Linked DNA regions of Elephas maximus indicus. The protein of the gene in region 4 purifies or fractionates together with the protein of the main gene of each other region. This does not show direct contact. Links are inferred from orthologs where the notes say so. Each region holds a gene or a part of one and is shown on either strand. Other genes may lie near its edges. The genes, in order: ATL3, interferon-induced transmembrane protein 3-like, NADH-cytochrome b5 reductase 3 and RTN4.

What was found.
Region 1: the proteins of RTN4 (region 4) and ATL3 purify together in Homo sapiens (affinity purification with mass spectrometry; 4 studies listed by BioGRID and IntAct, counting the BioPlex papers as one, with this or other methods). This does not show direct contact. The link is inferred for Elephas maximus indicus from reciprocal best matches to the Homo sapiens genes RTN4 and ATL3.
Region 2: the proteins of RTN4 (region 4) and interferon-induced transmembrane protein 3-like purify together in Homo sapiens (affinity purification with mass spectrometry; 3 studies listed by BioGRID and IntAct, with this or other methods). This does not show direct contact. The link is inferred for Elephas maximus indicus from reciprocal best matches to the Homo sapiens genes RTN4 and IFITM3.
Region 3: the proteins of RTN4 (region 4) and NADH-cytochrome b5 reductase 3 purify together in Homo sapiens (affinity purification with mass spectrometry; 3 studies listed by BioGRID and IntAct, counting the BioPlex papers as one, with this or other methods). This does not show direct contact. The link is inferred for Elephas maximus indicus from reciprocal best matches to the Homo sapiens genes RTN4 and CYB5R3.

What each region holds. Positions count from the first base shown.
Region 1 is NC_064825.1:126,874,409-126,882,225, forward strand, and holds the start of ATL3 (atlastin-3), read right to left. Parts: upstream 3,020-7,817; 5' UTR 2,954-3,019; coding exon 2,908-2,953; intron 1-2,907. UniProt on the Homo sapiens protein: Atlastin-3 (ATL3) is a membrane-anchored GTPase that mediates the GTP-dependent fusion of endoplasmic reticulum (ER) membranes, maintaining the continuous ER network. It facilitates the formation of three-way junctions where ER tubules intersect.
Region 2 is NC_064846.1:178,013,044-178,019,186, forward strand, and holds interferon-induced transmembrane protein 3-like, read left to right. Parts: upstream 1-4,130; 5' UTR 4,131-4,219; coding exon 4,220-4,486; intron 4,487-5,269; coding exon 5,270-5,461; 3' UTR 5,462-5,621; downstream 5,622-6,143.
Region 3 is NC_064822.1:186,887,400-186,894,982, reverse strand, and holds the start of NADH-cytochrome b5 reductase 3, read left to right. Parts: upstream 1-4,563; 5' UTR 4,564-4,619; coding exon 4,620-4,640; intron 4,641-7,583. UniProt on the Homo sapiens protein: Catalyzes the reduction of two molecules of cytochrome b5 using NADH as the electron donor.
Region 4 is NC_064844.1:7,148,039-7,154,959, reverse strand, and holds the start of RTN4 (reticulon-4), read right to left. Parts: upstream 3,003-6,921; 5' UTR 2,775-3,002; coding exon 2,180-2,774; intron 1-2,179. UniProt on the Homo sapiens protein: Required to induce the formation and stabilization of endoplasmic reticulum (ER) tubules. They regulate membrane morphogenesis in the ER by promoting tubular ER production.

The DNA.
Region 1 (7,817 bases), on a different chromosome or scaffold from region 4:
AGAAGTTTAAAAGGCATGCCTGTCATTTACAGGTAAATTCTAAACTAGTTCTCAAGTAAGTTCACACAACCTAGAGTTCCTAAGGTATTTATCTTAGTTATCTAACCCAAAACAAAATAACTAGATAATCTTAGTTATCTGGTGCTGCTACAACAGAAATATCACAAGTGGGTGCTTTAACAAACAAATTTATTTTCGCACAGTTTGCCGTTGCCATCAAGTCAATTCCGACTCATAAGGACCCTATAGGAGACAAGGGAACTGCCCCACAGGATACGCAAGGAGCACCTGGTGGATTTGAACTGCTGACCTTTTGGTTAGCAGCCATAGCTCTTAATCACTTAGGAGGCTAGAAGTCAGAAATCAGGGCGTGAGCTCTCAGGGAAGGCTTTCTTTCTGTCAGCTACGGAGGAAGGTCCTCGTCTCTTTTTGAGCTTCTGCTCCTCGGCGATCCTCCTATGGCTTGACATCTCTTTCCCCATCTCTGCTTCTACTCGCCTGTTTAATCTCTTTCATATCCCAAAAAAGTAGCCCTGGTGGCACACTGGTTAAGTGCTCGGCTGCTAACCTAAAGGCTGGTGGTTTGAATCCATCAGCTGCTCCTGTGGACAAAGATGTGGCAGTCTGCTTCCATAAAGATTACAGCCTTGGAAATTCTATTGGTTAGTTCTACCCTGTCCTATAGTGCCACTATGAATTGACTACAAGGCAATGAATGGGTTTTGTATCTCAAAAAAGACTGACTCAATATACACCCTACATTAACCCTGTCTTATTAACATAACAAAAACAATCCATTCCCAAATGAGATTATAACCACAGGCATAGAAGTTAGGATTTACAACACGTATTTTGGGAGGGCATAGTTCAATCCATGGAAACCCTGGTAGCATAGTGGTTAAGAGCTAAGGCTGCTAAACAAAGGACAGTGGTTTGATCCACCAGGCGCTCCTTGGAAACCATACGGGACAGTTCTACTCTGTCCTATAGGGTCGCTATGAGTCGGAATCGACTGGACAGCAATGGGTTTTGGAATTCAATCCATTAACACTACTTCACGGAAGATCTTAGTAGAATGTGGCCAAACTGTTAATAATGGCTACGTTTTGTGGAACTGGGAAGATGGAGAGGATTCTATTTCTTGCTTCACACAATATTATTTCATTTTAAACAATTAGTGTGAGCAGTCTTTAGTCTATGCTTGCTACCCAAAAATCCCATGTATGGCACCATAAACCCAAACCCACTGCTGTCGAGTCAATTCCAACTCATAGCAACTCTATAGGACAGAGTAGAACTGCCTCATAGGATTTTCAAGGCTGTAAATCTTCACTGAGCCAAATGCCACATCTTTTTCCCCTGGAGTGGCCGGTGGGTTCAAACCCGTGACCTTTGATGAACAGCCAATCACTTAACCACTGTGCTATCAGGGCTCTTTTGAATGACTCCAGAGAAAACCTATTTTTTATAAGTCTATTCTAAATAAGCCAATTTAGTGAAAACTAAGAAAACTATGTCAGTACACATTACATTTATCCTTTATTGTTATTTTTCTTAATTTTATGATAAGTACAATGACACTAAACAGTAGCTAATAAAACAATATGCTGTCCCAGCATAATCCTTTATTACGTACAGACCTTTTTCACTAAGTGTTTTCCTTTACAGGTGTTAGAGTAGCAACAGGAATTTCTAGACTACAAGCTAGTTTCTGTGGGGACCGGGGAAAAAAAAATAGCACTAATTTGAATTTCAATCAGGGGCGGATTACCCAATAATCAAGGTAACCATGGGCTCACTTGTGCTCACTTACTAATCTGTAGTGACCAATTAGTAAGTAAGCACAAGTAAACCCGTGTTTATATTGATTATTGAGTAATCTGCCCCTGATTTCACTACGTATCTTGCAATCCTGAATACTTGCCATAGATTAGAAGAACTATATTGCTTTTCTTTCTTAAATATGCTTCCTCAAAAGTAAACTCAAGTGTGGTCCGATGGTTTTTCTGCCTTTCACAAAGTATTCCACTCAACTTTGTATTCAAATTTGAGAATTCGGATTTACTTATTAAAAGATTCTTCAAACACTTTTCCTTTCTGCCTTTAGATTCCACAAGTGAAATTCCTGGCAATTCCAACAGTGCCTACGTTAAACAAAAAGCCAGGTAAAGCGACAGACGAAGTCGTATCGGTGAATTTTTGGTCACTCCCTATCTGGTTTGTATTCAGGTAACACTTTTCCTACGTTGTATGGCTTCGGGAACCAAAAGAGCAACGTCCCGTACTAAACGTACTGAAAAAAGTACCAAAACCAAGTGGGGCCACGTTTTCTCATCTGCTTTATGGAGATAAGCGGGCTGAAAACCAACTTTTCTAACACTCCTTGGTGTCAGTGCCTCAAGGTCGTTAAGATAAAAGACGTTTCGCAGCCCTCCAGCACTTCACTAAAAGCTGAACAACAAAGCGCTCTCCTTCCCGCTCCAGCCCAGCGGGTTAAACAGCCGAAGCCATTTGGCCCGAGTTTCCCGGCTGTGCCCAGGGCGGGGTCCAACGGTGCGGAAGCCGCGGACACAGCCCCAGGAAGCCCCCGGCCCCCGGTGCCGCCCCTGGCGGGCGCGACGGGCACAAACGGGGAGCGGCGGCCCAATGGAGCGCTGGCGGCCTCCCCGGGGCGCAGGGGCCGAGGCCCGCGGGCGGCCACTCCCAGCCGGAGGCTGAGGAAGGCGCTGCCCGCGCCCGCAGGGCCAAGCGCCGCCAGGAAACCCCGGCCCCGAATTTGCGGGCAGAGGGGCTCGGCCGCGCCGTCCCAGCCCCTGGACGGGGCGGCGCGGGCGGCGTCCTGGGAACTATGGCGGGGAGGCGGCGGGGTGGCCATGGAGAGGGGCCGGGGGAAAGTGGGCGCCTCACCTGCTCCTCCCGAGGCAGCCGCTACCGCTCGCTGAGGGGACAACATGGAGCCTCCGCCCTCAGCAGAAGCAGCTGGGGCGCAAAGGAGAGGGACGGCCTGGGGCGGGAACCAGCCAGGCCCTGAGGGCGGGAGGCGGGCGGGGCCTGGGCTCTAGAAGAAACTGGGGAGGAGGAGGGGCGCGCGAAGCCGTCCGAGAGCGAGCGCGGGGCGGGTCTGCGAAGCCTGACCGAGCCCTGAGGCACTGCCCGCGCAGGGCGGGTCCCGGCGGGAAAGCGCACGCTGCCGACTCGCTCAGGGCGTGTGCGCCTGCGCAGGAGCGCGGCAGGCTACCTTGGGCTGGGCGCTGCCGGCCACGGTCCGTTGGGTGTTGTAGTCCCTCATTGCCTGACTCCCAGTTGGCGGTACCCATTTTGCTCACTCATCCGGGGCGGGTAGGGAGTCGAGGAGAGGGGCGAGGCCTGGCACCGCTTTCCGATGACAGATCTACCATTCCCAGCAGGCTGTGCGAGAGCCGCCCGGAGAGGGCTCGCCCCGGCCCGCCAGCGAGCCGGGCCGTAGGGTGGTAACCAGGCCCCGGGCGGGAGCTTTGGGATCGTCGGTTTCGTGCTCCTGTCGGCCGCGTCTGAGAAGGTTTCGGTGGTTAACGCAGGCCGGGGCCGCAGGTGGGTGGGTCCCTGCTCTAAGGACCGGAGGAGGCTTTGGCCCTGGGTGACGCGAACCTCACTGGATTTTTAATGCTTTTGACTTCACAAGGAGGGAGGCGGTGACTTCATTACCGCCATCGTCATCACTCCATATTCCTGCCTCTAGCCAAGCCCGATGGTGCACATCACCCCTCTAAAAGCTCTGGGAAGACCCCTCCCACCGCTTTGTGCAGCCTGAACCTCAAACGTTCTTTTGTAAACCTCAGGTTTACAGGGACTTGATTTAAAGCTTTTTTTTTTTTTTTTTTGCAAGCACACTTTTGCTTAAACTGTATGGTTGTCGTTGAGTCGATTCCAACTCACGGCGACATGCAACGCAAGGTTCTCCGAAAATGAGAAAATATCAGTTGCCACAATTGAGGAATATTGTTTTTTGGATTTGTTGGGTGAGAGTGGATTGGGAATAAATAACTGGTGAGGCTTCTGGGAAGCTAAAGCATCTGATTCCCCACCACCACCACCTCTTGGCTTCACCGTTGTCACATTTATTTGACAAATTATTTCTCTTTCTTTTGCCTCTGCCTTCACTGTTATAATCTATCTAGGACCTACTTTTCCCTACCTTTAGGCCCTGCGGAGCCTTTAACGTCATTTTTTGCTTCCCAAGTGATTAGGTCAAAGGTGAAGAGGCAAAGATAATTCTACCTAATCCTACCTAAGGAAGTCTCTTTGATTTGTTTCCCTAACCCTTCTGATACTCCCCAAAAATCTCCAGATAATTGAACACCCCTCCTCCAGACTTCAGATTTAAGAGTCAAGATTAGATTTAGACCAACTAAAGCCAGCAAGAAAGGAGAAAACATCAAGGCAAGTGGTTACTGGGAATTCACACCAGTGTGCAGGAGGCAGGACCTACAGAATGTGACACACCCAGGGCATTATGTGGCATGCTCAGAAAGAGAAAGGAGGGGTCAAAGGCCCATGACTCATCACAATTGAAACCTGCGATGTAGGAATTCAAAATTCTTACGTTTTGAAGATTCTCACACTTCAGGATTCCCTGTTCACTTTCCCTGCTTTACTTTCTGCATGAGACTTCTTACCATCTGACTTAAGTTTTACTTATTGTTCTGTTTGTCTCTTCCCATTAGAATGCAAGTTTTTGCTAAGGATAGGAATTTTAGTCTGTTTTGTTTACTGCTGCATCTCCGGCACCTCAAGCATTGCCAGGCAGATAGTAGAGACTCAAACATCCGTTGAATGAATGAATAAAGGAGGCACACTTTGTCATTAGCTGCCATTGAATTGACTCCAACTCATGGTGTCTTTATGTACAACAGAAATAAATGTTGTCCTGTCCTGCATCATCCTTACAATCACCAGCATGTTGGAATTCATCATTGTGGCTATCGTGCCAATCAATCTAGCCAAGGGTCTCCCTTGCCATCGATAGCCCTCTACTTCACCAAAACACTGGTGGTGGTGACAGAGCTTACAGCATCATGAGAAACACACAAGCCACTACGGTATAACAAACTGACAGACAGGTGGTGGTCACTCACTTTATTATTAAGTACCTAAGTTAATATTAAGTACCTAACTTTTACTTTTGAACAAAATGCCTTGTTCTATTTTAAGGGATCCCAATAAAGACCCACTGAAATTCATTCTGACCAGCAAATACAGAGATGTATCTCAATATGACAACATTATCAAGGTCAATGTTAGTACCACATCAGCCTTCCCCGTACCTTGTAGAAGCTGTTCCGCATTAGAACAACATGGTACAAATTATAGTGGATTTTAGGTTTAGCCATAGCTTGGAAAGCAACCCCCGTAAGTGAGAAATGTGTTTGTTGTTGTTGCTTTTATGTCCTCAAATATCCAGGGTCATCAAAACAGGGAATGTTCAGAATGCTAAATATTGATAATACTGGTTACAGCCTTTCTGCCTTCAGCCATTTCACTTTGAGTTGAGCCTTCTTCGTGGTTCAGAAGTAAGCGACATGAAGACATGTCGGGAGCGGTAAGGGCCACACACTTTAGAGTCAGGCTGACCTGGCTTTGAATTCCAGCTCTAATGCTCACCAGCTGTGCAACCCTGGGTGAGTTATTTGTCCTCTCTGAGTCTGTTTCCTCATCTGCAAAATACTTCAAATACCCACATCACAGAGCTGTAGGTTAAATGAGATGCATTTGGTAATAATGACTGGTACTTAGTGCTCAAAAATTGGAACACATTATATTCATTCTGGAAAAGCAAAACCAAGTCATAACAAAGATACTCAAGTATTTTAGGAAGCGTAAAAACAAAATTGTTTTTGCAATAAGCATTCACTATGACTCAGATTCCAAAGCTTTCCAAAAACGCCTTATTTAGGTGCCAAGTACTGCGCTAGGCGTTAATGCTGCAACAACAAGCCAAGCACCATGCTAGGCATTAATGCTGCAACAACAAGCCAAGCACCATGCTAGGCATTAATGCTGCAACAATGCGTAAGACACATTCCTGTCCTTCAGGAACTCACAGTCTGCTGGGGTAAACAGCCAAGTAAATAGTTATCACCTGCCGTGATGATCACTTGCCGTGACATTTTTCAGCCTTCTCCCCTATCATCTACTTGCAATAATGGTATTTAAGCAACAGTCTGGGCACTAGGAAGGGACAGGCTTAAATACTGACATCCCTGGGCATCAGTTAAACATCTGTGCCTTTACGTTGTTCATATGTAAAGTGGAGTCACAAGATGGCCTAGAAGCTGAGGTGGGAAATAATTGTGTAAATGCCAGTCCTAAAAGGGGCAAAAGGAGCCCTCTCGGCAGAACAGTTAAGCACTTCGTTGCTACTCAAAAGGTCGGTGGTTCAAACCAGTAGTTGCAGGGGAGAAAGACCTGGTGACCTGGTCCCATAAAGATTATAGCCTAGGAAACCCAAGGGGCAGTTCTGCTCTGCCATATGAAGTCAGTATCAGTCGAAATCAACTCAACAGCACCTAACGACAACAACGTAGGGGCCAGAGAAGTGGTTATGCTCCAGTGAACACTCTAAAAATCCCATCTGACTCTATAGAAGAATCCTGATCAAAAGGGGGGAAATGCAGAACAGAATTTCAAATTCTCATGGACTCCAGACTTCCTGGAGCCATTGAGGCTGGATAAATCCCTGAAACTACTGCCCAGTGTATAAAACTTAAATCAAAAATATCCTCTGAAGTCTTCTTAAAACCAAACAATAAAAAAATAGGTTAGCTTAATTAGTAAAGAATGTCTTCCTTAAGTTTTTAAGCTCTTTTAAGAACTATCTATATGGGATCAAAGTGACAACAACAACTAAAAAATTAGATTGGAGCCTTAGGGGGCAGTGGGCTAAATGTGGGAGGAACAACTCAGAAAAGGAGGGTAAGAATGGTTGTGGAACCTGAAGAATGTAATCAATGACACTGAATCGTACATGTAGAAATGGTGGAATTGGCATATGTTTTGCTGTGTATAGTCTCAATAACAACAACAAAATAAATTAAAAAAAAAAAAATTCCATCTGAGCCCTTCCTGCCCCAAAACTTTCAAATTCTCGATTCCTTAGTGTAATATCAACGCTTCTCCACAGTCTGGTTCCAACTTTTCTTCCGCGTTTTATCTCCCTCTTGTCCCAATTCAAGACCTCGGCTCCAGCCAACTTGCTCTAACCATGCCCCAAACACCCTATACACAGTCACACTTCTGAGCTTTTGGCCAGCACAGCAGTGTGTGTACTGCACTGAGGCAGCCCCAGGAGGGGAGGGGCAAGAGAAGATGAAATCTAGGCCATGTTCTGCTAGACAAGCCAGCATGGAACTGCATGGCTAAGATGATTTTTTTTTTTCCTAATTCATCTGCCCAGAGGGGTGCCATTTTGTATACTTGCACAAAAGCAATCCCTGCATTTGCTTCACACCATCCTCTCCTGCCTCTAATGGCCTCCTTACCACTCCAGACTCCTGTCCATATTTTAAGGTTGAACGTCTTCATAAAACCTTCTCGAGCCGCTATAACTCCATGGTAATCCCTCCCCTATTTCAAATTCATACTACTTATTTGCGGCCCAATTTCATAGCACTATGGTTTTTTATTGCTTGGGGTTGTTTTTGGTTTTATTTAATTTGTATTATTTAGCTTTATGTGAGTATATTCTAAGCCCCAAGAAGCTTGAAGCTCGTTGAAGACACAGCAACATATTATATTTGTAGATCCCTCCAACGTGCCCATGATAGTGTTATACACAGAGC
Region 2 (6,143 bases), on a different chromosome or scaffold from region 4:
TTGGTTACACCACAGGGCTCTGTGCTGGATGTGGAGCAGTGGAAATCTCAAAAAGGTGAATGCACATGCCCAACTCCAGGGAGCAGAGAGTCACCTCACTCTGCCTACTCCCTCTGCTGTGCACAAAACACTCAAGCCCTGGAAGCTCAGAGTCAGTGCTAGCGACCTCAGTGAGTTCTGTCATTGGTGAGGAGTCAGCTGGCAGAACTACTCACACACACACACAATAATGCATGCTTACTATGAGACATAATAAATTTCTCTAATAGTCAAAATAATACTTTACAAAGTTTTTAGAACAGATCTAGGTGATTCTTGGCTCATCGGTGGTAAAACAAACGAGTGTTTCTCAACCTTGGCACAACTGTCAAATTGGAGCAAGAGAATGCTTAGTTGTGGGGGGCTCTCTTGCATTGGGTAGGGGGTTGAGCAACAGCTCTACTCATAAGATGCAAGCAGCCTACCTAGTGTTGTTGTTCTTGTTGTCACTGAGTCTATTCCAACTCATGGTGACCTCATGTGTGCAGAGTAGAACTGTGCTCCATAGGGTTTTCAAGGCTGCAGCCTTCAGAAGTAGATCACAAGGCCTTTCTTCTGAGGCATCTTTGGGTGGCTTCCAACCTCCAATCTTTCAGCTAGGAGTCCCATGCATAGCCATTTATGCAACCCAGGGTGCACACTGCCAGGCTCACCCTCACCCAACAGAGCAGCAGGCCCCCATCCAGGACTGAATCACCAGCTGAGGGTTCAGATGTGTGGGAGCTGGGCTGAAGCGTGGGTGGGGAGGGGCAGAGAGGGGCCCTTGCACCCAGGTGGAAGTCCCAGGGGGTACCAGATGAGGCCTGGAGTGACATTCCAAGGTACCAAGAGTATCAAAGGCACCTGACTGAGACAGTTGGACAAGAAGCAGGGAAGTGTTTCTGCTGACATGTTACAGCTGTCAATGTCTGTTCATCTTGAAATTGGGGGGCCCAACTTAGAGATTGCCTCTGGGCACTAGTTACCCTTGCTACACCCTGAACCTCATCACCAAGTCGTGGCAATGAAAAATATTTCCAAACCCTTTGCCATCAAGTCAATTCTGCTGCATGGGACCCTACAGGATGGAGTAGAACTGCCCCCATAGGGTTTCCAAAGAGCAGCTGGTGGATTCAAACTGTCAGCCTTTTGGTTAGCAGCCAAGCTCTTAACCACGGCACCACCAGGGCTCCAAAACGTATCTCCAGTTATTGCCAAATGTCTCCTTTGTACAGGATCATTTCCAGCTTAGACCCATGACCTTAGATCACTTTGTCTCTGAGCTCATAAATACTGAAAATGATACGGACTAATAATATATCAAAGTATGTAGACCATGCCTGGCATAAGGCAAGTTATCAATAAATATTTATTGTTATTACAAAGGAAGTCTACTTAAGAGAAGTCCCTGGATGGTACCTGCACAGGATCAGATGCAAGTATACATGGGACCTTCCTGATGCTGGTGGTGGAATAAAGATATTGTGGTTATAGTGGCCATCTAAGATGCATCAGTTGGTCCCAACCCACTTGGAGCAAAGGAGAGTGAAGAACACCAAAGACACAAGGAAAATATTAGCCCAAGAGACAAAAGGGCCACATAAACCAGAGACTCCATCAGCCTGAGACCAGAAGAACTAGATGGTGCCCAGCTACCAGCAATGACTATCCTGACAGGGAACACAACAGAGTCCCTGACAGAGCAGGAGAAACGTGTAGAGCAGAACTCAAATTCACATAAAAGGACCAGACTTAATGGTCTGACTGAGACTGGAGGCACCCCCGAAGTCATGGCCCCCAGACGCTCTGTTAACTCAGAACTAAAATCATTCCCAAAACTCAGTCTTCAGACAAGATTAGACTGTACTATAAAACATAAAATAATGCTCACAAAGAGTGTGCGTCTTAGTTAAAGCAGATACATGAGACAAAATGGGTAGCTCATGTCCGGAGGAAGAATGAGAAGGCAGGAAGGGACAGGAAACCTGAGGTGGAAAGGGGAAGTGTGCTGTCACGTTATAGGGATTGCAACCAGTGTCACATAACAATACCTGTGTAAATTTTTATATGAGAAGTTAACGTGAGCTGTAAACTTTCACCTAAAGCACAATTAAAAAAAATAAATAAAGACATTGTGGTTATGTAGGTCGGTTTTTTTTTTTTTTTTTAGGTCAAATCTTTGTGATTATGAGAATTAAGCATAGATACTACAGAGTTCTTATAAGGTGGACCAGAATCTAAGACCTGGGACAGAAGAGTGAAAACCCATGAATCCTGAAGAGGGGAAGGACGATGCACGGAGTAATTAAAACTACAGTGTGCGACCATATCCCTAAATGCTGGATCCAGGTAGAAAAGACAACCTGTGCTCCACGGGGATACTCGTGGAAATTCAGGAAAAGGGAAACCACAGCAGCCCAGAGAGCCTCCCAACTCGCTATCCTCTGTTGTCAGTTCTTAAGCCCATGAGGAGTACTTTAGGGATGAAGATAGTGTTGACCCCAATATCACCCAGCATGTTTTCTCCTTTTTCAAAATGGGCAGCTGAGAGCTTAACATAACCAAGGCCATGATAAACCTATAAGTTGTTCTAACTCTGCCTGCCTCCTCACATACCTCTGTTAATGACTTTGTTTCCACCAAATGTTAATGACTTTGTTCTGTGTTTTAAACTGATGCAAATAACCTTTTGTTCTATCTAGACTACCTGTGGCATACAACCCCCACAGGAAAGTTGGAGCCCAGGTATCCGATATGTATGTCTTCAGCCTAGTAAAGAAATGTCTGACAGGGGACAACGAAGACACCTGTAACCCTTGTAAGATTCTCTATAAGCTCTAATGTAAAACTGCTCTTTGGGACTCCATAGAGACAGCCTGTGTTGCTGCTGGGTCCCTGGTGATGTATTCATCTCACTCTTTCTGGCTTGAAGTATGTTTCATTGGCTTGACTGCTCCAGGGCATGGACCCTAATCGGGTAACAATAGTAAAGATAGTAGAGGACAGAATTGACTCATCTTGGAAATGGGAAAATTGAGCTTCAGAAACTTGCCTGAGTTTCTCCAGGTTCTTTCTAGTTCTTCATGAGTGAGGTCAGATAACCTGTAATTTATACAAAGACCCTCACCAAAATGGGAAGCAGAAATGGGAAACAAACAGGCTGAACATGGGAGAGGAGGACTCAATTCCAGAAAATTAAAAGGTCTCTTCAAACTACCTAAGGTCCTCCATCCACTGATGAATGTGCACTTGGTTGCTCCTCTTCCCACCTACCACCCTGCCCCATCCACCTCCAAACCAAGACACATGTTGGCAAGAAGGACCTTTCCTGATTTTAGAAGGAGGCTCCTTCCTCAGTGTACATCAACAAGGCTAACACAGGCTCCATTCATTGTTGTTGTCAATATTAGTTACCATCAAGTTGATTCTGAATCAACTTGTATCAGGGTAGGATTGTGCTCCACAGGGTTTTCAAGGCTGTTTTTTTTTAATCTTTACAGGAGCAGATCACCAGGCCTTTCTTCCAAGGCACCTCTGGGTGATTTTCAATTGCCAACCTTTCAGCTAGTAGTAGAGCGCGTAAACATTTGGGTCACCCAAGAACTTCTTTGTAATAATAATAAACATTTATTGATAACTTGCCCTGTGCAATGCATGGTCCTGTTGTTGTTAGGTGCTGTTGAGTCAATTCTGACCCACAGAGACCCTACGTACAACAGAATGAAACACTGCCTGGTCCTGCTCCAGCCTCACAATAGTTGTTATGCTTGAGCCCACGGTTGCCGCCACTATGTCAATTCTTGTCCTTATGGGTCTTCCTTTTTTTCCCCTTACCAAGCATGATGTCCTTTTCCAGGGACTGGCCCCTCTTGATAACATGCCCAAAGTGTGTGAGAGGAAGTCTGACCATTCTTGCTTCCAAGGCACATTTTGGCTGTACTTTAAATGTATTGCTTCATTTTAACACTCACAGAAACCCTTCCAGGACAGCGCCCTAACTCTCCCTCCCCCTCCCCTCCTCTCAGGCTTGAAGTAATTCGAGCCTCTGAAATATGTCCCGCCTCCTTGGCCCATGGCCACCCCAATTCTTCAGCCTGGAAATAGAAACTTCTGAGAAATCGAAACTACTGAGAGAAGTGAGGCCAGGAAGCTAAACCTCTCACGCAAGACCCTCATCTACTGCTGGACGTCTCAGGAAACCATGAACCACACTTCTCAACACTTCTTCACTCGCGCAGGTACCAGCCTCTCTCCAGCCTACGAGATGCTCAAAGAGGAACATGAGGTGGAAATGTTGGGGGCTCCCCACTGCTCAGTGCCCCCTGGCCCCGTGGCGCCCGTGACATCCACCGTGATCAACATCCGCAGTGATACCTCGGTGCCGGATCATATCGTCTGGTCCCTCTTCAACACGATCTGTATAAACTGCTTCTGCCTAGGGTTTGTGGCCTTCGCCTACTCCGTGAAGGTGCGTGTGTGTGTGCCAGACACCAGGGGATTCTCCAGGAGGGTGCACTTGGGCGCTAGGGGTGCCCTCTGCCCACTTGGTTCTGGGGCTACCAAGGGTGTTTGTGTGTGTTCTTGTGTGTGCCTTTGTGGATGTGTGTGTGTCCATGTGTATGCATGTGCACGTGTGTGTGTCCGTGTTTACACATGTGCACATGTGTGTGCCGGGCACCTGGGCGATTCTTCACCAGGGCGGAGTGAGCACTTGGAGTGCGCTCCCCCCAGATGGGCCTGGCGGGGAGAAAGGACCTGTGTGTGTCCCTGCGTTAATATTTTTGTGTGTGTCTCTCTTGCGCGTGTATTTTATGTGTGCTTCCTTGTGAGTGTCTGTGTCTTGGGAGGGGGGTCTTTCACAGCGTAGATCAGCAATGACACCCCAGAGGGTGCTTGAGGATGTCCTTATCAGTCCATGTTCCCACAACTTCCCCAAAAAATGTTTGTCAGAGTTAACAGAGAAGTTCATCCCTCCCTCACCCTTGGGTTAGGGCTCCAGGCTGGGGCTGGGGTGGGGGGAAGGAAGGAAGGGTGGCACTGGGGCACAGCAGAGGGAAGACAAGCCCAAGGCTCCCTGAAAGGACTGGGGGATTGTGAGGAGGTCTCTGCCCCAGCAGGCAGGGAAAGAAACTGTCCTGCTAGGGCTCCATGGAATGGGCAGGGGGGGGGGGCTCTCAGATGTGGGTGAGGGCCAGTGCAGGCTGAACTGGGGACAGAGCTTCAGGTGCCCTCATTGTTTCCTCTCCTTCAGTCTAGGGACCGGAAGATGGTGGGCGACATGATAGGGGCCCAGAGCTACGCCTCCACAGCCAAGTGCCTGAACATTTGTGCCCTGCTCTTCAGTGTCCTGGTGACCATCGGGTTCATTGCTCTCGTGGCCAGTGGAGCCATGATAAGCCTCGATGCAATCTCAAAGCTCAGGCAGGCACAGGGGGGCCACTGACCGCTGCCCATTGCTGCTGCCTGAGCCCCCCAAGGCTCCACAGCTGGTCCTGCTTTCCCGCCTGTTGACACCCCACCCCAACTCTTGTCTAAAGCAGTTTGCACTCGATGATCTGTCTATAAACGAATTCAGTAAAGTTCCTCTGTGCGTAACGGGGAAACCCTGGTGTCATGGTGGTTAAGTGCTACAGCTGCTAACCTAAAGGTCAGCGGTTCGAATCTACCAGGCGTTCCTTAGAAACTATGGGGCAGTTCTACTCTGTCCTATAGGGTCACTATGAGTCAGAATCGACTCGACAGCAACGGGTTTGGTTTTGGTTTTTGGTGTGCAATGGTGCTGTGATATCGCCCGGGGAGAGGGTCCTGCTCTCAGTCACCAGTCTGCTCCTCAGCTGAGGGTCATCTCACCTTGTCCCACTACCAGGCAGAGCAGAGAGCAGGACACACCCTCAGGCCTGGCTGGTTCTGGCCTCAGGTGGGGCCACAGCTGGGCTGGAGTGGGGGCCCCTCTGACCCTGAGGTCTGAGCCCTGACGCAGGGCGGCTTCTTACAGGGGGATCGGTACTAGGAGGCACCCTCAGCCTCACACAGGGTGCAGAGGACCCTACTCAGGCACTCTGGGATGCCTAGGTCCAGCGGTCAGCCCTCTGGGGTGCACCTGGACCCTAGCTGTTCTGACAGGA
Region 3 (7,583 bases), on a different chromosome or scaffold from region 4:
CCCTGCTCCCAGCCCAGTGCTCTCTCATGTGCCATGAAAATCTCTGGCCGCGGGGGGCGGGGCAGGATTTGCGGGGGAATGTCCCCCACCCCACATCCACTTCCATCAATCCCTGCCTTGCAGCCCAGGCCAGCAAGGAAGAGGAAAACCTGCAGACCATTCCGGATGCTAGATTCCAGGGGTGAGCTGTTGTGGCCAGAGCTGAGTTTCAGAAGCAAACAGACCTTGATTCAAACTCTGGCTCTGACCCTTGCCAGCTGTGTGACCTTGAACAAGGCTCTTCCCTCTCTGAGCCGGGGCCATCCTCGGTAAGCTGGAAAGGAGATGTCTGGGGTAAGGGAGGACTTGCCACAACTGGAAAGCCTTCCCCAGGGGCCCTGGTCAGATTCAACTTGCTCCCTAGGTTATGCACTGTCCTGGCTGGGACTGTGCTTCTAAAACCTGCCTACAAGTCCCAATGCGGTTACCACGGAGTACACACGAGGTACCAACTCCTGTTTCGTCAAACTCCGCTCTGCTTCCAGGGAGATTCAGGGCCGCCTTGGTGTCACTGTAGCACTTTGCCTGCCAAAGCGCTGCTCTGACTGAGCAGGCGCCTATGACTCTGTGATTAATGGTTCAGTCCCCGGCTCGGGCAAGTGATCCCAGCCCCTTCTTCATCTTTTTCCCCCGCAACATGCTCCCTCTTCAAAATGAAAATGTCTGAGGGGATTAATACATTCCCAAAACCAAACCCATTGTGGTGGAGTTGATTCCAAATCATAGTGACCCATAGGACAGAGTCGAGCTGCCCCAGAGGATTTCCAAGGCTGTGATCTTTACGGAAGCAGACATTTTTCTCCCTCAGAGCAGCAGCTGGGTTTGAACCGCTGATCTTTTGGTTAGCAGTCGATCACTTAACCACTGCACTACCAGGGTTCCTTCATTAATACGTTAACTCCTGACAAATCATTGCACTGGCTGCTTGGAGGCCCAGCTGGGGTGCGGGCTGCAGTGGGGAAGGGTGGGCTGGCTGGTTCTGGGTGCACCCCCAGGAGGTAGAAGTCATTCCCATCCCACCCAAAGCCCTGAGGTCTAGCAGGTTCCCTCAACCCCATAGCCAGAGGGAGTTTTCTAAAACTGCCTGCCTAGTTTAAGCCCTTCTCCCAGGGCTGTCAGCTACCCCCTGGAGAGCAGCTCATCCTGGCATTCAAGGCCCCACTGACTTGACCCGCTTCCTCTACTCGGTGACATGAAGCCTCATCTGATAACATCTGCCACACTTGTTTTCATTTACCATTTCTGCGTGAAAGAAGTATTCGATGTTTGAGATTCAGATTGAACTGACCATCCTCTAGTTCTGTCCAAACACCCCCAGACATCATGAAGTTTTACGTAAGTATATTCCGTGCAATATTTGGGATATACTTATGCTAAAAAATTACATTCATCATTTAGCTGACATTCAAATTTAACTGAGTGTCCTGTATTTTGATTTGCTAAATCTGGCAACCCTAGGCCCTACACAGGTGGCCTGGGGCGGGGCGGGGGGGGGGGGGTGCTGCCAGGGGTGGGATAGCCTCAACCTGAGTACAGAAACTCTGCCCTGCAGTTGGCCTGAAAGCCCTCTCTCCCAACCTCCTCTCCAGCCTCCTCTCCAGCCCATGGCTGCTGAATCCCTTCTCTGAGCCTCAGTTTCTTCTATACAATAGAACTAACGGCTTCTCTGTCCACCCACCTCTCAGCCTCTCCCAGGGATCAAACACCTGAGCAGGTCAGGGACTCTCAACCAACAAAGTAGAAGGCAAATGGACTTGTGGGAAGCGTCTGTTCTTTGGCTCATAGCAGGACCTTGAGGGATTAGGACGAGGGTCTCCCCTCGCTTTCCACCACTCTAAGCAGCTTACAAACCAGTTAAACTACCTAGATAGTCGCTGTTTCAGGCAAAGACCATTAATAGGTGCTGCAACCATTGGATGAAAGTTTGCTAGGGATCACGACATTCACAGTTTCAGAGTCAAAGATACTTGACAATAGGGAGATCTGGTAGGTACCCCCTTAGCCAGGCCAGCCTCACCAACGGTGGGGCATCTTGATTTCATCCTGTCTCCAAACCAAAAGATACTAGGGACCTCCTTTGCCGTCACATAGCCAGTCAAAAGCCAACACCAGTGTGTGGCCAGGCCTGGCATGGGGGTCACCTTCTAGGGAAGCTTCCAGATGTAACCAGGGGTGAAGCCTCCTTCTGTGTTTTATACATTGAAATTGTGTCAGTGGGTTGAGGTGTAATGCAGACAGGATTTATTATAGTAAGAGCAAAATGCTTCAATATTTTCTGTTGTGAATGACATTAATTTTATGTACAGAAACAATTATGAAGAATGTTCCAACAGATAAATAGGGAAACAGGCGGACAGTTAATATGATCTTAAAAGAGGCTGTAATAGCATGATAACTTTAGGAAGGAAATGATTTCCTTCTTGAGTCTACAAATGTATAAAATAATTTAAATGATACAAGGCAGAATGAGAGATGAATTCCACTCAAATTCGAACTTTGTAGGATTGTTTGTGGAGCTAGCTAGCATCAGTACCCATAACCTAAATAAACTTTATATATGATATTTAAGTTTTATTTATTTAATGCCATTGAAGCTATGCGTTTTTCGAGGAAAAGTCCTGTGTGGGAATTCTTCACAGCTCATAAGAATGCATTAAAAGAGGAAAGCTAACTTAAATCCCACTGCCGTCGCGTCGATTCCGACTCACACCGACCCTATAGGACAGAGTAGAACTGCCCCATAGGGTGTCCAGGAAGCCTGAACTACAGACCTCTTGGTTAGCAGCCTAGCTCTTTAACGAGTAACCACTGGGGTTTCCGAAGCTAACTTAGTCACCTCCAAATTTCACAAGGAGAAGAAAGGCCCAGATGACAATTCACACCCATGATCATCATCTTGGACCCAGGAGCAATAAAGAAAGCGAAGAAAATAAGGTATGGGAGGAAACGAGGAGGCTTAGAGTGATTTTCTGCCTCCGTTTCCCCCATGGAAAGTGTCGAGAATCGCAAATGGGTGAGTGGTCTACGAAGACCTTAGCAACGGAGAAGTTACTGGTTGTACCTTCTAGGTCAGGCTTTCCGATTTGATTATTTCCTTCGTAACATTAAAATTGTAATCATTAAAGCCGAAATAATTCGTAAGTGACCTGAGAAGATGTCAGATTTATCCTTGTATTCTACCATAGTAGGTCCCTCCCTCCATGCTGCCCCAGAGGCCCCTTTTTTAAAGCCAACAGGCCACTCCCCCACCTGCCTAAGTCCTCCAGGACTCCCCCCAAAAACCTGCTGCCATTGAGTCAATTCCAACAGAGCGGACTGGGCTCCATAGGGGTTTCAAGGGCTGATTTTTTGGAAATAGATCACCAGGCCTTTCTTCTGAGGCCCTTCTGGGTGGACTCCAACCTTAGTTAGCAGCTGAGCACATTAACCTCTTGCACCTCCAGATCCGCCTCCTCTCCCCAAATTCCCAGTTCCTTCCACCCATGTTCCTGGTGTACTTCACCCTGATCCCACGTTACACCTCCATGCCCCTAGCTCTGGCCACGTCAGCCCTTCTAGCCTTGCTGGCCCTGTCTATGCAGCTAATTTCCACTTCTAGGTCCATGCGGTTCCCTCTGCCCGGTTCCCTCTGCCAGATGGCCTTTTTCCCCTTATCTGCTGTGCCCACATCACACTGCAGGAACACAGAGCCCAGTACCAGAAGCTCCAAGACCCTTCCAGGGGGCAAGGCCTGAGAGTGACCCTGGGCCCAGCATGGCCTACACAGAGAAGGTGGTCTACACAGAAGAGTTGCCCGCTGTCTCTGGAATTCACTCATTCAACAAGTATTTATTGAGTGCCTACTACGTGCCAAGCATTCTGTGAGGGTCAGGGCATACAGGGGGCTTCAAAACAGACAAGGTGCTGCCCTCCCCGAACGGTCCACTGGGATGGGGTTGAGCTGGGAGCAGACCATCCTGAAAGAACACCTCGGGCAGTGGGGTGGGGAGAGAAGAGGGGGCGTTTGGAGAGGGGGGTCAGGGCAGGCCTTGCCGGGGACAGGTTTGACCTGAGACCTCAACACTAAGCAAGAGCAGACTCTGAGACGGCTGGGGCTAGTTTTCCAGAGAGAGGGAACGGCATGGGCCAAGGCCGTGAGGTAGGACCAAGCTGAGCAGCTTCAGGACAACGTGAGGCAGCGGCTCGGTGGCGCAGTCTGGGGTCAGGCCGCGGTGGAGCTTCCGGGTTTCCCTTCAGCTCCCTCTGAGGGGGCGCCATCTTCTGCCTTTTATGGGGGCAGACGAGGCCCAGAGAAGGCCGGCGTCGCCGCAAGGCCACACAGCCCAGGCGCACGCTGCCGCGCGCTGGCACCCAGTCCAGGCGCGCCGGCCACCGCCGCGGGCCCCGCAGTGCGGTGATACCCGCCCGCAGAGGCCGGGCGCTAGCGGCGGGGACCCACCGCCCCGCCGCCCCGGCTCCCTCCACGCCCTCGGTCCCGCCCTCCGCGGCCTGACGCGCCGGGCGGCGGGCGGAGCCAGGGCGGCGGCGGCGGCGGCGGCGGCGGGGCGGCCAGAGCGGCGGAGCGAAGCGGCGCGGCCACCATGGGGGCCCGGCTGAGCACGGTAGGGGGGCTGGGGCGGCCGGCGCCAGGCCCTCGGCTCGGGCGGCGCCCCTGCGACACGGCCGCGAGAGGCGGGCCACCGGGCGGGGACGGGCCGGGCGGCCTGCGGGCCCGGGGCTCGGGACCCCCGCCCGTCTGCCCGCCCGCCCGCCGGGCCGCGCCCAGGGCCGCGGGGACCGTGACTCACGCCCGGGCGGCTGCCCTGCTCGGCCGAAGGCGGCGGGGGGCCGGCACCGGGGGCGGGACCGCGCGACCGCCGTCTCCCTCCCCGCCACGGGCCGAGGCGTGAGTGTGACCGCACGTCTGTGTCAGTGTGCGAGGGGGTTTGTGTGTGAGCCTATATGGTGTGGCTGAATGTGGCAGAGTGCAGGAGGATGAAGACCAAACCCCAAACCAAACCCCTCGCCTTTCAGTTGATGCCACTCCCAGCGACCCTACAGCAGGGGCTCCCAAGGCTGTGAACCTTCGCAGCAGCAGACTGCTACCCTTTCTCCCGCAGAGCCCTGGGAGTTGCCAACCGCAGACCTTTTGGTGCGCAGCCGAGTGCTTTAACCACTGCGCCAGCAGGGCTCCTTTCACACCCACTAAACCCAAAAAACCCAAACCCACTGCTGTCCAGTGGATTCTGACTCATAGCGATTCTATGGGACAGAGTAGAACTGCCCCATAGGGTTTCCAGTACTGGAATCTTCACAGGGAAGAACGTCACGCTTGGCAAAGCAGCGGGTCCACGGACACTAGAAGGACCCTCATCGAGAGGGATTGACACAGTGGCTGCGGCAGTGGGCTCAAGCATGACAACGATTGTGAGGATGGTGCAGAACCAGGCGGTGTTTGGTTCTGTGGTACACAGGGTTGCTATGAGTCGGAACCGACTGGATGGCACCTCACAACAACAGTCTTTGCAGAAGGAGACCGCCACGCCTTTCTCCCCCGGAGTGGCTGCTGAGTTTGAACTACCAACCTTTCGGTTTGCAGCCGAGTGCTTAACCCGTGCTCCACCAGGGCCCCTGACAGGAGGACAGTGAGTGTGTATTGTGAGTGTACATGGTGTGAGACTGAATATGTGATTAGATATATGTGAGAGTGTATGCATGTGAGTGTGAGTTTATATGTGGCTGTGTGTGAATGTGAGTTTGTGTGAATGTGTGAGTACAAGAGAGTGAGTGTATCTGTGTGTGAGAGTGAGTTTATGTGAGTGTATAGTGTGTGTGAATCGTGCGGCTATGTGAGTGTTCATATGAGTGAAGAGAGGTGTGTATGAATGTGAACATGAGTGCATATGTGTGTGAGTGTAAGAGGGTGAGTGTGTGTGTGAGTATGAATACGTGAGAGTGAGTTTGTGTGTGAGAATGAGTGTGTATTGTGTGTGTGCGTGAGTGTGAATGAGGGTGTATGTATGTGAAGGTGTGCAGTAGTGAATTGTGTGGTACGTGTTAGCAGGAGTGTGTGAGTGTGAGTGAATGTGAGTGTGGCATCGTCTGTGAGATGTAAATAGGTGTGAGTGTGAATGTGCATGTGAGAGTGAGTACAAATTCATGTTTGAATGAATGCGTGTGAGTGTGGGTGTACATGTGTGTGAGTGTGATAGCATATGAGAGTGTGATTGTGCGTGTGAGGGTATGAGTGTGTGATGTTGCTGGATCAGAAGGTTTGTGCAGTCCCTTAGCAACAACAACGTCAACAGTGGTAATCCTCAGCAGTTCTAAGTTAGGCTCTGGCTCTCCTGTTAACCCAATGACGTTGTTAATGTAACCAGCCTGCAAGGCCAGCGCTGTTAGCCCCACTTTACAGATGAAGAAATGAGACTCGGGCTTGGCCAAAGTCCCACAGTGCTACATGAGGGAGCCACACTCTGTGGGGCTCCAAAGTCCACCCTCACCGCTGTCACTTCTGGCAGGCCTCCTTCGCTCCACCCCCAGGCTACCTCCTCCCTACAGTTTTTTAAAAGCAGGAGTGGTGAAGAGGCCCCGGGCTTGTGTAGAGACGGTAACTACAGAGGACAAACACTCTCACGCGTAGACACTATTGTCCAAGCTACTTGAAGTGAAGTGAATAGGCCCTGCGGTGCCTTGGCCTGCGTGTGGGAGGGGCTGGCACCTTGGAGGATTAGGCCCAGATCTGCCTCTGCCTCCACCCCAGGCGCCTGGGACTTGGAGGGACTATTGCCTCCTCCCTCTGGCTCTATGAGGCTCCTCTTTGTGGCCTGGGCCTTTGCTGGTGAAAGTGTGGCCCAGCCCAGGACTCTGGGGCACATTCAGGTCAAGAGGCAGCCTTGCCCAGGGCGAACCTGTGGGCATTGCCTCAGCCTTGGTAACAGCTGACAGTACACCCCAGAAATCCCCATGGGTCACCCCTTCTGCCTTCATTGTTCAGACACCCCCTGGGCTCTGAGGCCCGCCCTGACTCCCCTCTGTGCTCTTTTCCTGGGGTGCTTCTCACCTTCCATCAGGTGCTGGCTGGATTTGTCCATGCGTCCCTTCCACCTGGCACACAGTAAGCGCTCCATACATTTTTGTTGAACAAACAAGCAGCTCCCTTGCCTGCCAGCACCTTGTTTGGGAGCCAGGAGACCTGTGCCAACTCCCGCCCCTCTATCCAAGGGGTGGGCACAGGCTGCCCCCTAGGCTCCTTTTGGACCCTGTTGGGATCCCCCTTGGCCCAAGAGGGTCTTCTTTTCTGCTTAAAACACCCATAGCAGGCCCCAGCCAGACCTCCTGTCCCGGGGCTCCACGCGGTCTACAGGAGGCCGCTGGGTGCCTGGTGGGCGGATGTCTTATCTGGGACGTGCAGGCTAGGAGGGGGCCACCTCCCAGACTCAGGGGGGCCCTGCAGAGGGGTTGGCACTTCAGTCATCCAGCTACCTGGTGGAGACCTTTGGGGCTTGGTCTGCAGTCCTGGAGTGTGGTCCCTGCCACCAGGCAGTGAAGGTTCCTGGGGGCCA
Region 4 (6,921 bases):
CAATAAAATTAAATTTCAGGAGCATATTTCTAAAATAAACAGTATTTGCTTAAAAAGACCAAATTATTACCATGGCCTGTTAGACAACAAAAAGCACCTGCGTGCCAGTCACCTCTCCACCCTCCTTTTACACCACTCTCCCCCTGGTTTTACTCACTAGCCTTCTTACAGATTCTCAAGCATCCAAGAGCCTTTGCCCCAGGAGCTGCTTGGAACATTTCACACATCCTAATTAAACATTCTCCATGGCGTCACCCAGTTTATTTTCCTCATAGCACTTACCACCATTTCAAGTTTCTTATCCATGTTTATTCTCTGTACCCTGCCCCCAGGCAGGCACACGTCTTGCTTCTTGCTAGGTCCTCGGAGCCCAGAACAGTGCCTATCTCGTCAGGCAATCAATAATTTGCTGATCCAATGAAAAACGGTGTTAGGAAGACTAGACTCATTGATATGGCTATCTATGACTGTAACCACCATGTTCCTGCATCTAAGAAAGGCAGTATTCTCTCATCTCCTAAGTTTAGGGTTCCAACAGTCAAGATTCTAAGAGAATGAACGCAGTTACCTCCTGGACCACCACTGGTCAAAGAACAGAACTCTCCTCTCAGTTCCTATTCGGGGATCCAAGATAACAAGGCAGTATGCTTTCGTCAATGATTACATTTCCTTTCTGCAAATTTCTCGCTGCTTTATATTTTTATCCATCACCTTATTTTCCCTCAAGTGTTTCTTTTTGATACAGAAAAAAGGAAAGACTGAATTACTTCTCATCTTCTAAGACCTTCTGAGCAGTGCTGTGGGGCAGCCAATATTGAAACGTTATTTCAGAAGCATTGTCGCACTTGGCTTACTTTCCCTGAAAGGATAGGAGTGAACTGGAAGAAAAAAAAATCTATTGTGTGATCTCAAACTGATTTTCTTTTTCTAGAAAATGGACCACTCACTTCTAAAATTCTACAAGGCTATGAAGATTTCTCAGCAAGCATTTATACTACCTGATTCTTGACCTTTTACCTAAAGAAAGGTTACACAGCTGGTAGGGCATTTTGTGTCCCAAAAGAACAACCTACTGAGCCATGCACCTAACAAGTCCCCCAGTCTCTAACAAGCTTGATTTTTTTTCTCTTCCTAAATAGCTTCCCAAGATGAAAAGAGTAATAAAACAATGTTCTGAAAAATAATAACAATATACAATCAGCCACGCATACGAGTTAAGATTTAAAAACTCTTGGAGACCATACAGGTTTATCACTGGTGACCTAAAACTTCTCAGAAATAGTATATCTAACCAAAATATTTCATTAAGCCTCATGGGGAATCTGTCACAAGTCCAACTGGCCGGGTTCCAGCAAGGAATCTACAGATTTCCTCTTCTTTAAGGATGTCAACCATTTTGCTGTCTCCCCAACCCCCTTAAATTATGGTGCATCGAGGCCGAATCGGTCCACACTAACAATGCCCCCTCCCCCTGAGAGCCTGGCAGAACTGCGCCCCCTCGGACCACAATGCCCAGATGGCGTCTCGAAGGCTCAGTTCAGCTGGTGGGGAGTCGCCACCTCACAAGCCTGCTAAACTGGGCGGTGGCAGGCTTGGCCAGAACCCTCTCCTCCCCAACTGTCCCCGCACCACACCACTGGAGGCGCTCTCCCTACACTGCGGCTGGGTCAGTGTGGACGTTTTTTTCCATGAGGCCAGCTCCCCACTAGCGCAGAAGTGGGGTGTGGAGTCTGGAGCGCAGGGGGACTGCCTACACTAGCGAGGGGGTGGGAAGGGGGCCCTGGGCTGAATGACAACAGCCCCGCAGTGAAGCTGCACCCTTTCCCAGACGGGCAGACAAAAGCCTTTCCTAAAAGCTTAGGGCGCCAAGGGCTGCCCATCCCGACACCAAGCCAGCCCAGTGAGTCCACAACCCCAGTTCCTCCACCCACACCCACTACGGCGCGTGCCCCACTTCGGGGACGCAGTGGAATGGGGACCAGAGGGAAGGAAGGGGAGAAGGGAGGGTCGGGAGCGGGTGGGGTGCACGTGCTCCCCGAAACCCAGCCAGACAATGAAGCCGGGCTTCCCCGGCGCCCCACCCGTCTCCCCCGTCCGCAGACAAAGCCCCCCGGGGTCCGGAGGGCGGGCCGGCGCGCGTCGGGAGCTGCACACAAAGGGGCGAGGGCGCGGCACTCACCCGCGGAGCCCGAGGAGCCCTTGCGCTTGGGCGCGGCCGGCGTGGAGGGGGGCGCGGCGGGGGCCGGGGTCCACGCGGGCTCAGCCTGGGGGCTCATGCCGGCCGGGGGAGGAGGGGGCGGCCGGGCCGGGGGCTCGTCGTCCTCGGGGAGCGCGGAGGGCGAGGTTGCGGCCGCGGGCAGGCTCTGCGCGGGCACCGTGGCCGCCGCGGGACTGGGGTCCCAGGGCGCCGGGCGCTCGGGGGCGGCGGAGGGCGCGGCCGGCAGAGGGCCCCGGGGCGCCGGGGGCACCAGGTCATCCCCCAAGTCCAGCAGGGGCGCGGGGGCGGCGGGCGCCGGGGCGGAGGGCGCCGGGGCGGGCGCCGGGGCGGGCACCGGCGCGGCGGGCACCGGGGCGGCCGCCAGCCCGGCGGCGGGCTTCCTCTCCAGCACCTCCAGCTCCTCCAGGTCCTCGTCCTCGTCCTCCTCGTCCTCCTCCTCCTCCTCGTCCTCCTCGTCCTCCGGCTCCCGCACGAACTGGTACTTGAACTGGGGCTGCGGCCGGGGCGGGGTGTCCGCCGACGAGGACACCAGCGGCGACTGGTCCAGGTCTTCCATGGCGGCCGGGCTGCAGACGGTGCTGCCGCTTCTCCGCCGCCGCGCGCCGGCGCTGGTGGGGGCGGGGAGCACGGAGCGGGCCGGGCCCACCGAGCCGAGGGAGCTGCAGGGCCGACGACTCCCGGAACAATGAGCCTGCGCCTCCTGCCTCCGCGCGCTGATGCGCCAGCCGCCCGGTCCCCAGCTGCCGCCGCCGCCGCCCAGGCGACCAAGGAGAGGCCAGCCGACGCCCCGCCCCTTTTGGCGTGACTCACCCTCCCCCCGGGCGGGGCAGCGACTGGCGCGGGAGGGAGAGGGCCAATCGGCGCCGAGATGGGCGAGATGGACAACCAGCCGGCCCAACGGGAAGGGAAAGAGATGACGGCGGGCGGGGCTTGGCGCACTTCCTCTCTCTGACCGGCTGGGCATGAGTTCCGTGGGCGGGGTTTGGACCTGGGAGCCCCACCCCCACCCTGGGTGGATGGGCGACTGGGTGGGGTCTCGGCCTTGCCCGGTAGCTGGAGGTCGGTTTGTCGTTCAAGTCCAGCGACCCGGAGCCGACTGCGGACCGGAAGGGGTCGGAGGGCTTTCTGGCGCACCACCGGAAGGGCGTTATCCTGTTGGGCGGGGGGCGCGGTGTGGAAACTTTCCTCCCCGGAGAGGGAAAAACCCATAGTGTGGAAGGAGGCCTTCGTGATTTAAATACACATTCAATTGATAAAGAATTTGAAATAAAAGATGACTTTTTTCCAAACTTAACATTCCCAACCCACCTCATCACCCCCCAAGAAGTTTGTTTTGACAGTTAGGGTCGCTCCCCGCCTGAACTGCAGCCCTGGAATGACGCAGGCAAATAGGGCCGAGCAGAGGATCGGGGCGTTTGGGGTGGAGGGCCTCGCGGTCCGCTCATCTCCCTCCGGGAGGGTTTTGGGCACCGTGGCTGGACGTTCACATGGTGGATGGATGAGTCACCGAAGAGAGACGGGGAAGAGGGGGAAGTGGAAACAAAGAACGCCTCGGAAGGCAAATGGGGTTCGCGTTACCTCCCCAGTCACCTTGGGCTCGTCCGTCGACATCTCGGATGACTCAGGCTTTCTGGGAGTCAGGAAGCCCGATACACACTACTTGGATACGCCAGAATGAGTCTGCTCTTTATTCCTCTTTTCCCCAAACTGGAACGTTTAGAGAACGTGGTTGCAGACCATAAAAGAATCAGCATCCGGAGGTTTATGGATTCTTTTACCTTTCTCTGCAATGCCTTCTCCGCGAGGCCCTGGAGAGACGAGGATAACGTGCTCTCAAGTTGCTCGCTCTAGACCTGCGCTGGCCAGTGCTGTAGCCCCGGGTCACTTGTGGCTCAGAGCACTCGAAATGTGCTGTGTCAACATAAATGCACACCAGATTTCAAAGACTACTCTCCCCCCCAAAAAAGTATATAAAATATCTTTTTTTAATTTTGGTTGAAATTGATAATACTTTGGATATGTTGGGATAAGTAAAATATACCATTAATCTCACTTGTTTCATTTTACTTTTTTAATGTGACTATTAAAAAAAAACCGTTGCCATCAAGTCGATCCTGACTCAGCAACGGAAAGAACGGAGTAGAACTTGCCCAAAGGGTTTCTGAGAAGCGCCTGGTGGATTCAAACTGCCAGCCCTTTGGTTAGCAGCTGTAGCTCTTAACCACTACACGGCCAGGGTTTCCAATGTGACTACAGAAACTTGTAAATGCATATATAGCTCAGAATATATCTCTATTGGACAGTGGTAGTCTAGATTAATGATCGAGATATTTTAACTGCTGCTGAGAATCGCAGGTTATTTAAGCAAATTGTTAGCTCTAACTAATTAGTATTACCCTAAACCCACTGCCGTCAAGTCAATTCCGACTCATAGTGACCCTATAGGACAAAGCAGAACTGCCCCATAGAGTTTTCAAGGAGCACCTGGCAGATTCGAACTGCCGACCTTTTGGTTAGCAGCCCTATTACCCTAAAAAAAAAAAAGGAATCTAAAAAAAAAACGTAGAACAAGATTTCCTGGCAATGTTACCTGATCCAGTGAACTATCAACAATACATTTAAGGCCTAGCACTAATTCCACAAAGATAAACTGGCTTTATTACTCTCGAAATGGTTGTGAGTTGTTTGGGGTTTGTTTAGGTTGGGGTTTTTGAAAAGAGTAGGAAGAGAAAAGCATTGAAGTAGAATTTGGGGGTGATAGTGGTTAACACAGGAAAACCTGGTTGCTTAGTGGTTAAGTGCTACAGCTGCTAACCAAGAGGTCGGCAGTTCAAATCCACCAGGCGCTCCTTGGAAACTCTATGGAGCAGTTCTACTCTGTCCTATAGGGCCGCTATGAATCGGAATTGACTCGACAGCAATGGGGTTTTTAGTGGTTAACAAATGTTCTGTCTTCAACTTAAAACTTCTCTCTTCAAACCTTCTACTGGCTTATTTTGCTGATAAGGTAATGCCAGGTTAAAACTGATTCCTACAATGATGACTGAAATAGTCACGTTTTGAGTATTTGTCAAAAATTACCTAAAATATACATGATTTTCAACTAATTGTATACATATACAAAAATATACTAGCAAAATGTTTATGGTACAAACTTTTTCTATGAAGTCACAGTTCGGCTGTTTCTCCTACTATGGTTGTTTTGAAACAGCTGAATGGGAAGTTACACAGGGTTCTCCTGTATCATCTGTAAGTTACTTATGTGATATTTCTGTATTCCTGTGTCTCTGTACCTGCTACTACTAAAATAGTCTCAAAGGAATATTCTTAATCTATTGAAAGTTTTATAAAAGAATGAGTATAGTCCATGTTACGGAAAAGTAGTAGAGCTGCAACGTTAATAGTAAACAGCGATGAATTCTGATGCACTCTCCTCTGATGCAGAAGAAAAATAAGAATTTTATATTATTGATCTCAGCAGCTTCTAAAAATTAATATTTGATGCGTGAATAAGAGTAAGGCATTTACCCAGCGTCTGTAGGATGGTCAACAAAGCACAAAGAAAGGAGAACGTTGCTGCTATACCAGAATTATAAGCTAGTTACGCCTTAGTGTAATTAGATGCAAAGGCTGCTCTCGCTAACAAAATTCTGGTGGACGTTTGGAACGCTTAAGGAAAAAATGCAAATTCTAAATCATAAGAGTTTGAGAATAATTATTTAGTGAAATATCTTTGAAATGATCTTACCAGAAGTAAAGGATTAAAGTTCCCAGATATCTACTTCTTAGGAACTGTTGTCTCTCAGAACACTACCTGAGATCCGTTCAGAGACTCCTAGAATCTCAGAGCCAGAAGGGTTCTGAGAGGTCAGCTTGACCTACCTCCCTCCATGACAAGAACTCCCTAGGAAGGTTTATAAAGTTGGTCTTCTGTGGTAGATTAAAAATGGCCACAAACTCTTCGCAGCAAGTCCCATCAAGAGTTGAAGTCTATCGCCTCACCTCGCCTAAGGTGGGCTTGTGACTTACTTGATCAATAGAATATTCTAGAAGTGAGTTCCAAGCCTAACCACCAGGGGCGCTACAGCTTCCTCTTTCCCCCTCTTGGAATGCTGAGGCCCTGTGAAAAAACCTAGACTATTTATCCCTGTTGCTATGATACTGAACAGGTTTTAGCAGAGCTTCCAGCCTAAGATGAACTAGGAAGAAAGGCCTAGAGATCTACTTCTGAAAATCAGCCAGTGAAAACCTTATGAATCACATCAGGGTGAACGACAATCAATCACAGGGATGATGCAGGACTGGGCAGCATTTCATTCCCTTGTGCATGGGGTCGCCATGAGTCAGAGCTGACCGGAAGGCAGCTAATGGTATTCATTATGGAAGATGGAAATCACATGGTCAGAGCGACCTAGCCATCTGAGCCACTCAACTCATGTCCCAGAAATGAGAGTGAGGCCATCTCAGATGTCCAGCCAACCCACAGAATCATAAAAAATGATGAATCATTGTTATTTTCAACCTCTTGAGGTGGTTCATTACACAGCAAAAGCTAATTGAAACATCATCCAATTTTGCTTTATTCATTCACACAAGAAATATTTGTTGGGTATTTACTATGTACCAGGCACTGTTCTGGAGCCCTGGTGGTGCAGTGGTTAAGAGCTCAGACTGCAAACCAAAGGGTGGGCAGTTCGAATCCA